2 linked regions of the Rhinolophus ferrumequinum genome follow. The protein of the gene in region 1 binds, or shares a complex with, the protein of each later gene. Links are inferred from orthologs where the notes say so. Each region holds a gene or a part of one and is shown in the gene's direction. Other genes may lie near its edges.

Region 1 (7,741 bases):
GCAGGAACAGAAGGTACAGTCATATGTGATTTTGAAGAGAATTGAGTGAATTATTGACAGAGGTGTGGGGTAGGTTTATGGGAACTAACAACAGATGCTGACGTTGCCCAGGGATTAGGAAAAACGGGAAGCTGGAAACTGGAAGCTGTACCTGCTCCTCCCCCTTCCTGAAGACCCAGTGAGAACCAACCCCTGAGAGGAGAGCCTCTGCCAGGAGCTGTCATTGTGGAGCCACTGCCACTGCCAGGCTGAGGTCCTAGGCAGGAAGGAAGGGAGTGCGGAAGAAATCTCTCTATATCTATCTGTCTCTGTCTCTGTCTCTCTCCCTCTCCCCATCCCCAACCTCCTCCCCAACTTGGCTTCAGTCACTCCTGATGGTACCTACCATTGGCCAAACCAGCTGACAAAAGAGCCAGAGTGATGTACTACTGAAGGTAAGTCCCCCAGGGCAGAGGAAGGGGAAGAAGTGGGAAAATGCGTGGGGTTGGGGGATGGTGCAAATGGAGAATAACCAGCACAAAAAGTGTGAAGTCAAAACTAATAAATATTTTTATATAAATATCCGAAGGAGATTATGTGGACTGGTCTGCTGCATTTCCATTCATCTAGTTATACAGTATTAAATGTTTGCTATGATGAAGGGGGTGATAAGTGATCCTAGTTCTTTTGAAAATCTTCCCCCCTCACCTCACTTGGGAATGGGTGTAAATTCCTGGAGTGTTCAATTTATCTTATTCATCTCAATATCCCCACCTCTAGCAAAGCTGTATACAACAAGCATTCAATAAATATTTGGTGTTTGAAGAACTGAGTGAATGTAATAATGGCCAAGTGTGTAGTATATAATGTTCATTAGGTTATGCCAGTTTTCACAGCATGTAAAATACTTCCCTTGGCCAAAGTCAGCTTAGATCTCACACATTTTGTTGGTAGAAGACTCATTTATATTTTTTAAAGAAGTGTGAGGATCCATTAAGCAAAGGCCATGCGGTCTTCGGATAGATTTGAGTAGCATTTTTGCATCTGTGAAGTAAGTGTGGCAGATTTTATCCCTATTTTTAAAATGAAAAAAAGCTGAGGCATGGAAAGATCATAAAGAAACCTAGTTAGTGGATGATAGACTCGGGATTCAAGACAAGAGCTCAGACCTCCTCATGCAGCCGTGATCTTTTTGACAAGGCATAGTTTTCTGTTAGACTAACGTCTCTTTTTTCATATCACGGACTTCACCTCTTGATATTTTTTCAAGGAAGTTACCATTTTGCAGTTAGGAAAAGAGGTTTATTGTAGCCAACACTAACAATACTAAAAAAAAAAATTACGACTATCTTACTGATATGTGCTCTTGATTTATGGGGCAATCTGTCGGAACCAAGATCTGAAGATGTTTGTAAATTCAGGTACTACTTTAATTAATTTATCAGTTATGTAATACCTACTATATGGATATTTTCATTAAGATGAAAAGTTTACCAGGAACACCTTGGATCTCTAGTCTCTTGTGAGGCTTGGTTAGGCATCTGTGTTTTCGGGAGAAAGGAGAGCATGAAGTGGGACAACTAAAGGGATAATCATTCTAAGATGGTAACTTTACCTGTGCAAATAATATCGTTTCAATATAAACATGTGTGCTGATGGGAATCTAGATTAAATTTGCTTATCTAGGAAAGAAAATCATTTTTTCATTCTGATGGACTAATATGAAACTCTAAAGAAGGCACAAAAAGAAGTAATCAAACACACTTGAGATACGGGAGTATTTTGCATTGGATTTGGGCTCGGTGTGGATGATGGATCTTCTTTAAGATTATCACAGGTTTTGGGCTGAGTCAGGAGAAGTGTAGGAGCAGATCAACAGAATCAAATCTGAGGCTGGAAAAATAATCATGAAACCTTAGATTTTACCTTCATTGGTTCTTATTCTTTCAGTTCAAATAATCTTATTTTCAGGTTTTCTAGGCAAAATTAATTAAATGTCATAATAGGAGATATTCAGTCACCCATTCACTCATTCAACAAATATTTACCAAATTCCTACTGTGTGCAAGGTGCTTCCATATAATGTAAAAGAAACAGTGATGTCCCGACCTATGTTAACATCATTAAGAAGTGGTGTTGGGGCGGACAGGTGGCTCAGTTGGTTAGAGTGCGGGCTCTCAACCACAAGGTTGCCAGTTCAATTCCTCGAGTCCCGCATGGGATGGTGGGCAGCACCCTTTGCAACTAAGTTTGAACACGACACCTTGAGCTGAGCTGCCTCTGAGCTCCTGGATGGCTCAGTTGGTTGGAGCGCGTCCTCTCAACCACAAGGTTGCCGGTTCGACTCCTCGACTCCCTCCAAGGGATGGTGGGCTGCGCCCCCTGCAACTAACAACGGCGACTGGACCTGAAGCTGAGCTGCGCCCTCCACAACTAAGATCGAAAGGACCACAACTTGACTTGGATGGAGCTGATGAGTCCTGGTAAAACACTACTGTTCCCTGGTAAAAAAGTCCTGGAAATACACACTGTTCCCCAATAAAGTCCTGTTAAAAAAAAAAAGAGAGAAGTGGTCTTAAGTTTATTTTGGCAAAGGGGAAAAGGAAAAGAAGGGTATAAGTAAATAAAATAATTATTATTGAATGTTAATAGTCTGATGAAAGCATACGATTGATGACAAAGGGGGAGGGATAATTCAGAAAGGTTCGAGTATATGTTCAGAAGCTGATTCTACCACTTATTTGCTATGCAATATTCAATTTGCTCATCTGTAAAATGGGAATAAGGGTACCTACCTCATATGAACTTTGGGAAAGAACATTATGAATATTGAAAATTATGTATCTAAAGAGGTTAGCATGATTCTCAGCACACTGTAGGTGCTCAATAGAGGGTAGCTGTTATCATTATCAATAACAATTAATATATAACAGAGTCACACTTCTATAAATGCTTTGGTGAACATAGTCATTAAGATGTAATATATATAATGTGAATTACACTTTTAGAGTAAGGGCTTCAGTAATTTCATGTTAAAAACAGAAATATAGGAAGTAGATGAGCCATACGTGAGATGCAATTTAACAATCAGAGCAGTATTATTTTTACAACTTAATAAAAGGTCCATACTTGTAAAAGAAGCATAAATGAAAAAACCTAAATCTTTCATATATCGAATGTAGAGATGAATTTCAAATATTTCCATTGCTTCAGGATTACAGTGGCCAGCAATTAATAATTTAAGTCGCCCTTCCCCCCAGCCCTGCTGTAACCCATACTAAGGGTTTGCTTAGCTTGAACCTGTTTAACTCCTTTCTGTTAAAGATAGTTTTCTGGGTTTTAAAAACATTTTTGAACCTTCATCTTAGAACATTTCAACATTCTCTCCTATGTGATATATATTATATACTTGAACGATCAAATCTCTCTTTAATATTTGTATATTAATGGCCTAATTTTTCTATTTTCAACTTAGTTTTCTTGAATTTTGCATTAACACTTTTTTCATTCATTTTAAAAGAATTCAAGAACAATCTGAGCAATTTGATATTGTACCAAATGCCAATGTTTAGATACAATAAAAACCACTTTAATTTGGATCTTGCATAATATTGCAAAAGTTGCATATGAAAATAATTTCATTACGCATTGTATTAAATAGATATATTCCATGTTTTTTTTTAAGTTTTATGCTCTGATTTCCGAAATTATGATTTAAAGAACACATCATGACCTGTATACTAAACTAAGGCAATAACGAATGCCTATATCCAGCTTTTGAGAGTTGGAGAGAGAACGCCGACCAACGGTTTACTTTTGTATTTCAAACAATAAGTTTCAAATCTGCTAATACTCAACCTCACAGTGAGGGATGGGATGATTTTCCCTGGTTTTCCATTAGCTAAGTTTTGTGCGGAGAGATACGTGGGTTGTTTTACGGCTATTTTTACGTCGCCCGCTTCTTTTAAATGAGACCTTCATTTATGCAACAGCTCAGACCGGGACGAGCGAGATCGAGAAGAGGAGTGGCGTGATCGAGGAGAGGAGTCTCTGAAACCCACTCTCGAGGATGCTCTCCAGCACCTTGCAGCCAGTAAGCACATTATTTTCTCCTTGGGTGAATCTAGTTTCCGTTAGCTTAAGAGGAACAACTAAAGTGAGAATGTGGAGTTGGAGAATGCGTGGCAAAAACCCTTTGGGGGGGGGGGAAGCTGTTTTAAGGTATATGCTGCAACCCTCGAAGGAGTGGCTTTGCTCAAACTGCTCTAAGGAGCTGTTTTTGTCTTCTTATCAAACTTGCTTGAGTTTCTAGAGAAGCGCCTGCCTTTTCGGCGCGTGGCTAGGATGGGTGGTGGCCGAGAGTCGAAGGCAATGGCCAAGGGGGTTGAATTCCCGGGATGGAACTTAACGCACACTCCGAGGGCACAGTGGGGGCTCACTTCTGTCTTGGACGTAGGGGCTGCGACTGGCTTTTTTTTTTTTTTTGGGCGGGAGGGCAGATAGTGAGAAGAGGATAAGGGAAAACTGCCAATGGCTTTTCGGGGCTCACTAGGTCTGATCGACCGTTACTGCGCGCGCGGGTTTCCGGCTGGGCGGCCAGCTCGGGCGCTGCACGCGGCCGCGGTCAAAGGGCGTGCTCGCGGCAACCGCAGGGCACGCGGGCCGCCGGGGGTGGGGGCGGGGCGCCAGTGGCGGTTGCGGGGCATGCGCGGCTCAGTGCGCGGCTTCTCGAACATGGCGGCGGCGGTGTGAAGACCGGTGCTGGCTCGCGGGACAGAGTGGCCAGTGTGACTGTATTTTCGCCACTTTCGCCAACGATCCCCGAGGTGTGTGGAGACTCCGGGCCCCGTGAGGACCAGAGAGGCCGAGCGGTGGCGTGTGGGCTCTGGCCGTTGTCCGCGGGCGGGCGGGCGGGTGGCCGGGAACCTTTCGCGGCGCGTCCCGCGCGAGGAACGCCCCCTTACTGTCCCGCGGTGTCCGGCCTTAGCTTGGCGCTGCACCCCTGTCGCCCACCCTCAGTGGCCTCACCCTCGGAGGCCAGAGCTCCCCTACCCCACGTAGTGCCCTCAGCTTCTGTCGCCGCGGGGCCGCCCTCTCCTAGTCGCCCCTTGACCTGAAGCGCGGACAGCACCCTCCCGAGCATCCTCCCGCGGTGTGTGGGGTCGGGCCGGGGCCCCGGGGCGGCGCGGGTGGGTGGCGGGGCTTACAGTGCGTGGTTTGGGCTGAAACTCGCCCGGTTGCCTGTCCAGGGACTTGTGAACTAACTTTTGGAGTTTGGGAGGGAAACTTCAGCTCTGAAGGATGCCGCTGTGGCTCGGGTACTGGTGCTAGGTGCCCGTCGGACTCGGAGCCGCGGGCTCTAGGCGGTTGGCAGGGGGCGGGTAACGGGGTAACGGGGTAAGGGAGCGGGAGTGGGGGGGAGGGGCGGGAGTGGGGGCAAAGGGGAGCCCCATTAGCTTGTGCTAGGGGAGTAGCGGGGCGGTAGGGCACGGCCCGCTCTGGTGCTGGTGGCGGGGTGGGGGGCGGGGGGGACGGAGAGCGGGGTTCCTACTCTCCTGAGAAGCAGCCGCGTGCTTTCGCGGCATGAGGGGCTAGGGACCATTGCTGCCTTCCTTTAGAGACAGCGTTCTCGCTTTTTTCACCTGGACAGTGGTTGTGCTGCATCCTAGTGTGAATCTACGTAGCTTTAGGGCTGAACTGTAATTGGTCTCTCCAAAAATGTTGGGGCAGCACAAGTATTTAGTTACAAGTTCCCATTTAAAACTATTGAGTTTTTTTAAAAGGTAAGAAAGGTTGTAAAACATTTGTCATGCATTACAAAGTGTGATTACAGTTTGAAATCGGCGTCTATTTTGAAGAATTAAAAGATTAGCATTTATGATTTACTTGTAGGGTGACTTTGGGACATCTGTAGAAAGTGATGGATCGGTTAGTGGGGGAAACGGAGGTAAGGAAAGTGAGTATTTCATTATGATCATAAGATTTACAAAATTATTGGAGATAGTATTTATCAATAACTGCTTGGGAATGTTCTTCAGTAATAACAATTTTGCCTTTCTTTTCCTTAATTACTCATTAAATACTATTTCCAGGGATGAATGTTCTTTTCTTCTGTGGTTTTGCATATTTAATGGGAGGAATGTGAAAATAAGCTTTTGGAAATGAGTCCAATTGGGATTTTGAGAAAGAAATGAGTTTATGAGTACTCACCTAATAATGGCTGTAGCTTTATCCATAGTCTTCAAAACAGTCTGTTAGAATGTTTTCAAAAACTTAAACACCATTTAAAATGGCTTTGAACTTTTTAAATAAATTTCATATATATCACACAACCATACAAGTTTCTTAAAGGTGTATACCTGTTCTCCAGAGAATAAGATTTGTTTTGAAATTGATAATTTGGAAAAAAAGATTAATGTGACTGAACTACATTATCTGTGAAGATGCCTTAAAGCTAATGATATAATGTGTACAAAAAACATTGGAGTCAGTTTTTTTTTACCGTTTTAATTTATTTTTATTTTTTAAAAGTTTATTGGGGTGGCAATCGTTAGTAAAGTTACATAGGTTTCAGGTATACAATTCTGTAGTACATCATCTGTATATCACGTTGTGTGTTCACCACCCAGAGTCAGTTCTTCTTCACTCCGAGGGATCAAATACATGGTGATGGAAGGAGTTAGTCTTAAAGAGATGCTATCAGTTTTTCTCATGAAGCAGTTGGTCCGTCCTTTTGATTTATGCTTCAACCAACACATCTTTATTAAGTGCCTGTGCTGTCTGCAGTATGGAGTTCAGTTCAATGTACATTTATTCAGAGGCTTCTTCTATGTGTGCTGGTTTCTGGGTGCTTAAGGCTTCCTGTCAGTAGTTTATTCCTGAAAAGTTCAAGGTTATAGCTAAGAAAATCAGTATGAACGTAGAACAAGTCGTTTTATTTCAAGGGCGAATTCAGGGATTTTGCTCATAATTCTCTAAACAAAATTCTGGGTATAACTGAATATTTTGACTTGATATTAACTTTGTGCCTCTTTTGTTAGGATTATACTATATTTCCCCGGAATAAGACCTGGCCGGACCATCAGCTCCAATGCGTCTTTTGGAGCAAAAATTAATATAAGACTGGGTCTTACATAATACGATATAAGACCTAGTCTTATTTTACTATAATTACAGTGAAATAAGTTCTTAATTTTACTGTAATTAAGTAAAATATTAAATTTACTATTAATTTTTGCTCTAAAAGACGCATTGGAGCTGATGGTCCGGCTAGGTCTTATTTTCGGGGAAACACGGTATAAAGCTATACGTTTTTATGAGAGATTATTTTCTGGGTTGAACAGATAACATTGGGGGAAAATGAATGGTTGGTATAAGTTGAAATCAAAATGTGCTCTGGAGACTGGTTATTTTTAATGCTAAAAATCTTTGCTTCTATGACCAAGTAGTGAAGGCTGTTAACTAGATATTAACTCACTGATAAATTAGAGCACTTTCTTTGTTCAAAATGTTTGAGAAATTTCTCTGAGCTCAAAAATAACTAAGGGTTATGATGGTCAGCTATAAGCCAGATGTGACTCATTTTCTTTTGGGTTTGTTCCTTGCCTGCCTGTTCCTCCCAGATGCTTCCTATCACCCCTCTTCCTGCCCCTGTTCACTTTGCTGTTGGTGTCTGTTTCCGCATCATTGAAATGGTCAGGGTAATCCCGCGCTGCCTCAAGGAGAAATAATTGATGATAGATAGTAAAGTGCCTTGAAAAAG
Region 2 (5,098 bases), on another chromosome or scaffold:
CCAGTAAGACCTTACGGTCAGGCTTGGTGGCTTCCTTACCCAGCCCTTTGCCGCCTTTACCTGGACCATACATTGTTGTAGCAGTGTCTCACCTGAACAAAATAGCAAACAGCTAGCAGCAGTTCCGTGGGATTAGACCAGGGCTTGTAGTTCTTGTGGCCAACAGGTTCTAAAACATCCAGAAAGTGGGCAGAGCTCTAGGCTCTAGGCGACTTTAACCCCCTCCCTACCACAGTGAGTCCAGTAAGCAGTAAGCAGAACTAGACCGATTTTTTTGTTTGTTTGCATTTTGGGGAAAACTTTTTCTTATTTTTGCCATAAAATTGAGGAAAGACTCAATAGAATTTATATTGCCATTTCTCAACGCTTAAAACAAAGTAGGCCAGATCCTTTGCGCGCTTGGTTTCTCTCCCTCCTTCCTTCTCTCTATCCCCCACCGCCCCGATCGCCCTTGACTCTAAGTCAGGTGCGCTCGAATTCTAATTCTATTTTTCAAATGGAATACTTACTCTTATGATAACCATTCCCAGGCTAATGTGAAAATCAATAGTAACTAGCAATGCTTTACATCTTGTTAGCTTTCAAAGCAATTGCTTTACAGCTTTTCACCTGTGTATCTTTTTAAGTCACTAGTGGGGAAAGAGGAAATTTTTTAATGGTTCTCTTTTGTGGCCCAGTGGAGAATTAAAATTCTTTCAAAAGGTCTAAATTTCCCCTCTCGCCCTCTCCAGACTTTTCTCTTGCAGCTTCATCTGCATGGTTGGCAGATTTTCCTGACTCCTCTGTTCCCTCTCACCCCAAGTGCCTATATGCTTTTCCATCAAATATCTATTTCTATGGTTATTTAGTTGAAATACTGTAAATTTCTTATTTCACTGAAATCTGTGGTTTTGACTTCCACTTAAAAATTCAAAGTTCTTATAAAATAATGGATGCCATGATTGTGGCTTTAAACAGCGGTTTATACTACAAATCCCCAATTAGGAGGTTCTCTATCATTTTCTTGAGAATCCCTGAACAAAGATGAAACTCGGTAGTGTCACGGCTCTAGAAGACAGAACTCATCGTCCCAAAAGGTTTCACTGTGAAAAAAGGCAGTATTTAGAGGATGATTTAAAACTCTTTCCTAAGTACTTAACATCTTGAGTAAATTGTGCTCCCTGTCCCTACCTTTCTAGCATGAAAGCTTTATGGTAAATATTTATTATATATCTAAATGCTTATAATTTACCCATCGCCGTAACACAAAAAGTACTTTTTTGTTGTTGTTGTTAAAGATGAATTTAAAAAGCCCTTGGAACACCAGATGGCTGAAAAACAAAATCCTGAATAGTCTGTAGTCACACAGCAGCCTATCCAACTGTTGTCCCCCCGAGGTTTTCCTTAAGGAGAGTCTGTGAGACTGTGCCTTTCTGGGGACTCTGCTCCATCCTTGTGTTTATACCTATGTCTCTCTATCTGGTCTCCAAAAGATGGTTTACAGCCAAAGACGGGTAAGATATCTCACGGGAGATACAACCCAAGTCAGGCGGAACCGAGTGGAGACCCCCGATGTAATGCCTTAGAAAAATATGGGAAGGGGCCTTGCCTCCCCTTCCCCCTGCCTTGGAAAAGCCACTGCTGGCTCTGGCTTTTCTCTCGCACCTGTTTGTGAGAGAAGTCGTGAGGACAAAAAAGATCAGTTCTGTCCACTTATCTCAACAGAACTGTTACAATATGAGAGACTTGTCCCTGAGAGGGTACATACCGTAATTAAGACATCATGGAACCTGGTGCTTTGGCTGTTTACAGACAAAGGGTGATTGGAATAAACATTTTTCTGCTATGATGTATGAATCTCACAGACCGTGTAAGAAACAATGTGACTTGTATGAGTATCAATAAAAGCCTCCAGTCGGTCCAATTCGGGGCTCCAGTCCTCTGAGACTGTGAGGCCCCCTCGTCTTCGGAGAGATTTAACTACATTAAGTCTCTGTTTCTTTCTTAAAAACTTAACCCAAAGCCGCCCCTTCTCGCACCCTCACTGCAGGTGTTGCGCTGGATGCAACAATAGTCAGATAGTACTATATGATTTTAATTCTTGACTCAGTGAAAGAAAAAAAGTCTATCAAATCTTGAAGAGTCAGGATTCTTATAATGGTAAAATAGGTTGGTTTATTTATATTTATATTTACTATAAGAAATCAAGATTTGAACACTTTCAAGTTAGAAATCTCTCTTGCTTACAAGAATAAAAAGAAAAACAGTGCCAATAATAATCTGTTAAAATTTTCCATGATATAGGGAAAAATTTAAGCTAAATTTACAGAACACTTTCCAGGAACATCTTATTAAAAACTGCATCAGAGATTTGTATGTCCATTTATTCAGTTTATCTAACAGTTATTGGATGCTTACTAATACATTTCATCTTCATAACACTTTGGGATAGGTACAGGGGTTAGATAACTTATCCAAGGTCAGCTGGTAAATGATAGAGCCAGGATTTGGACCCAGCAGTCTGGATCTGGGATGACCACCTTAATCATGATAATATACTGCTTCTCAGATCCAAAGACATTTATTGAGTCCAGAGTATAGATAGGTTAATCATAATGCTAAGGAGTAAGGACATATATATATAAATGGTTGAAAACATTACTTTAGTAAAATTAAATCATTAGAATGGCGAGAGGATCAATTTGTTTTACATTTAAGTGGAAACTATAATCCATATAAAGTATTGTTTATTTTAATAAGTATTTAACATTATATCACGTAGCCATGTAATTTTATAATTATAGAAAATGTTGAGGTAAATTAAATTATCTCGCTGAGTTAGTAGAAATTTCTACTTCAATAAAATTAATTTTGTTCCAAATGCTGTGGCTCTGCAAGGAAAATTGCTGACGTTCTTTCTTCTTTTAGTCTTTTCATGACCTCTGAGCGCCACCGGAATGTCTTACAAACCTTATCCACCTCTGGGATCGTCTACAAGGAGACTCTCATAGTCTTCGTGGAGAACGTGATCCTAGATGCCCAGTGACCAACTAGGCTAAAAGGCAAGGCTAAGACGGCCTCAGCAACTGAACTCAGCCTGCCGGCTCTTCTGGAATCCAGAGCCTATTTTCAGGCTCATAACCTCAAAGACAAAAGATGTTAAGTTTTGGCTAAGTGAGCTTATTCCTGCCCTCTGTGAAGAAAGCATTCACGTCTAGTCTAGCACTGTAGTTTCTCGTTCCTTAGGAGTCAAGATTGGCAGCCTTGTGAGCCGCAGAGCTGTGGGCGGTGTCCAACGTCATCTGGTCTAGGTAAAGTTCAGATCGCCAGCTCCATTGGAGAAGGCTCAGTTGTAGCCAGCTCTTCACAGTTGGGTAATCAGCAGGAGCCTCGAGGTTTGCAGGAGGCAAGGCACTTGCTAAAAATAACAGGCAATGTACTCTGTTCTGGGCAGGCAGAATTCGGTGTGAGTTTGTGATTTCGTTTGAGGAGCAGTGTTGCCCACAGGCTTGGGCTCTGGAGTTAGGTAACTACCTGGCTAGGATGCTGTATGACGTGAAGAAATCCTCCTCCATGACCTCAAGGGACATTGCTTCCTTGAGCAATTCGTATTTACGGAGAAGACGGAGTAGCTCTTCTTCCGGATCTTTCTGTTTCTAACCACGGTTCCTTCATTCTTAAAACTTTATTTTCCTGGGACCGGGCGTGGACGTTGAAACCTCAGGATCCAATAAACTCAAAGGAGTTCCAAACGCAGAGAACTGGTACCGGCAGATATGCAAATGAAAGTAGCAGTTTGCTTTTTGATTGGAGAGAGCTGGAGAAGGCGGTCCCTCTGCCAGCGCTCTAATTGGGAGTAGAGGCTGCCTATCATTGGTTACTCAGACAGAGGATGTTGCGGCGTCCAATGGGAAGGCGCTGCAAAGTGGCAGCCAAGTTGGTAGAGGCAGTTCCGGTGTGGTGCGTTGCGTTCCTATACTATACCTGAGTCCGAATCGCTGAGTTCTTTTTCTCTCGCTAGAGTTTTCGGCGAGAGGTGAACATGTCTGGTCGGGGAAAGCAGGGCGGCAAAGTGCGAGCAAAGGCCAAGTCCCGGTCCTCCCGCGCAGGCCTGCAGTTCCCGGTGGGCCGAGTGCACAGACTGTTGCGCAAAGGTAACTACGCGGAGCGAGTAGGCGCTGGGGCGCCGGTGTACCTGGCGGCGGTGTTGGAGTACCTGACCGCGGAGATCCTGGAGTTGGCTGGCAACGCAGCGCGTGACAACAAGAAGACCAGGATAATCCCTCGCCACCTGCAGCTCGCCATCCGCAACGACGAGGAGCTAAACAAGCTGCTGGGAAAAGTGACCATCGCTCAGGGCGGCGTCCTGCCCAACATCCAGGCCGTGCTGCTGCCCAAAAAGACGGAGAGTCAGAAGGCAAAGAGCAAGTGACGCCGCCACCGGGGAGCTGGCTTCCCAAGCAAAGGCTCTTTTCATAGCCACTCCGAAGTGTTTTTGATTATGCTAGATGTCTTGGAGAGCCGGCGCGATCTAGTGGGGAGGTGGGCTGCGAGGGAGCCACCGGGGTCGGGGGCCAATAAAGTCGGTGAAAATCGTGTGGTCGAGAGAGCTGTGTAGTCGCGGGGGTCTGTCGGAGACCTCTAGAGCAGGTACTGGTGGGTCGGCTTGAGCTACTTTCTGGGCGGCTTTGGGCCGCAGGTCACCCTCGAGGAGTTATGCGCCGATGAGGGAAACCATGAGGGACCCACTGGCCTGGAGGTGGGCGGAGTTTGGGAGCGTTCCCTGCTCGCCTTTAGGTAAAGAAGAGGCAGTAAAAGGTGCGGATGCGGCGGGAGAATTATTTTTACGGCCTGTTCCCACGGCCTTAGCTCTCCTGCCCTGTCTAAGGGGTTCAGGAACCAGTTCTAGGAAAGAGACAGTGGGATCGAGCTGGTCTCGGGCAGGAAGTTGTCTCTCCGGACGTACTTTTCAAAAGGTCGAGTAACTTTCTGTCTTGGAAGAGTGGCTCTGATGACACTGTGTCAACTTAAATTTTTCTTAGCCTAATAGCTATTGTGTTTTCATGTTTTGGATATCAGATGTTTTTATATACACACTTATGTTCACATTTCTTTAAAA

What was found.
Region 2: the proteins of SCML2 (region 1) and histone H2A.J are in contact, whole or in part, in a crystal structure (PDB 4EDU), measured with the Homo sapiens proteins. The link is inferred for Rhinolophus ferrumequinum from reciprocal best matches to the Homo sapiens genes SCML2 and H2AJ. Residues at the interface, in NP_006080.1 of Homo sapiens: Asp182, Asn185, Tyr187, Leu188, Cys190, Phe206, Trp209, Phe213, Pro239, Pro240, Gly241; in NP_808760.1 of Homo sapiens: Leu35, Arg36, Lys37, Gly38.

Annotation. Positions count from the first base shown.
Region 1 is NC_046284.1:112,684,335-112,692,075, forward strand, and holds the start of SCML2 (sex comb on midleg-like protein 2), read left to right. Parts: upstream 1-4,722; 5' UTR 4,723-4,805; intron 4,806-5,871; 5' UTR 5,872-5,899; coding exon 5,900-5,935; intron 5,936-7,741. UniProt on the Homo sapiens protein: Putative Polycomb group (PcG) protein. PcG proteins act by forming multiprotein complexes, which are required to maintain the transcriptionally repressive state of homeotic genes throughout development.
Region 2 is NC_046293.1:29,040,962-29,046,059, forward strand, and holds histone H2A.J, read left to right. Parts: upstream 1-3,867; 5' UTR 3,868-4,021; coding exon 4,022-4,411; 3' UTR 4,412-4,574; downstream 4,575-5,098. UniProt on the Homo sapiens protein: Core component of nucleosome. Nucleosomes wrap and compact DNA into chromatin, limiting DNA accessibility to the cellular machineries which require DNA as a template.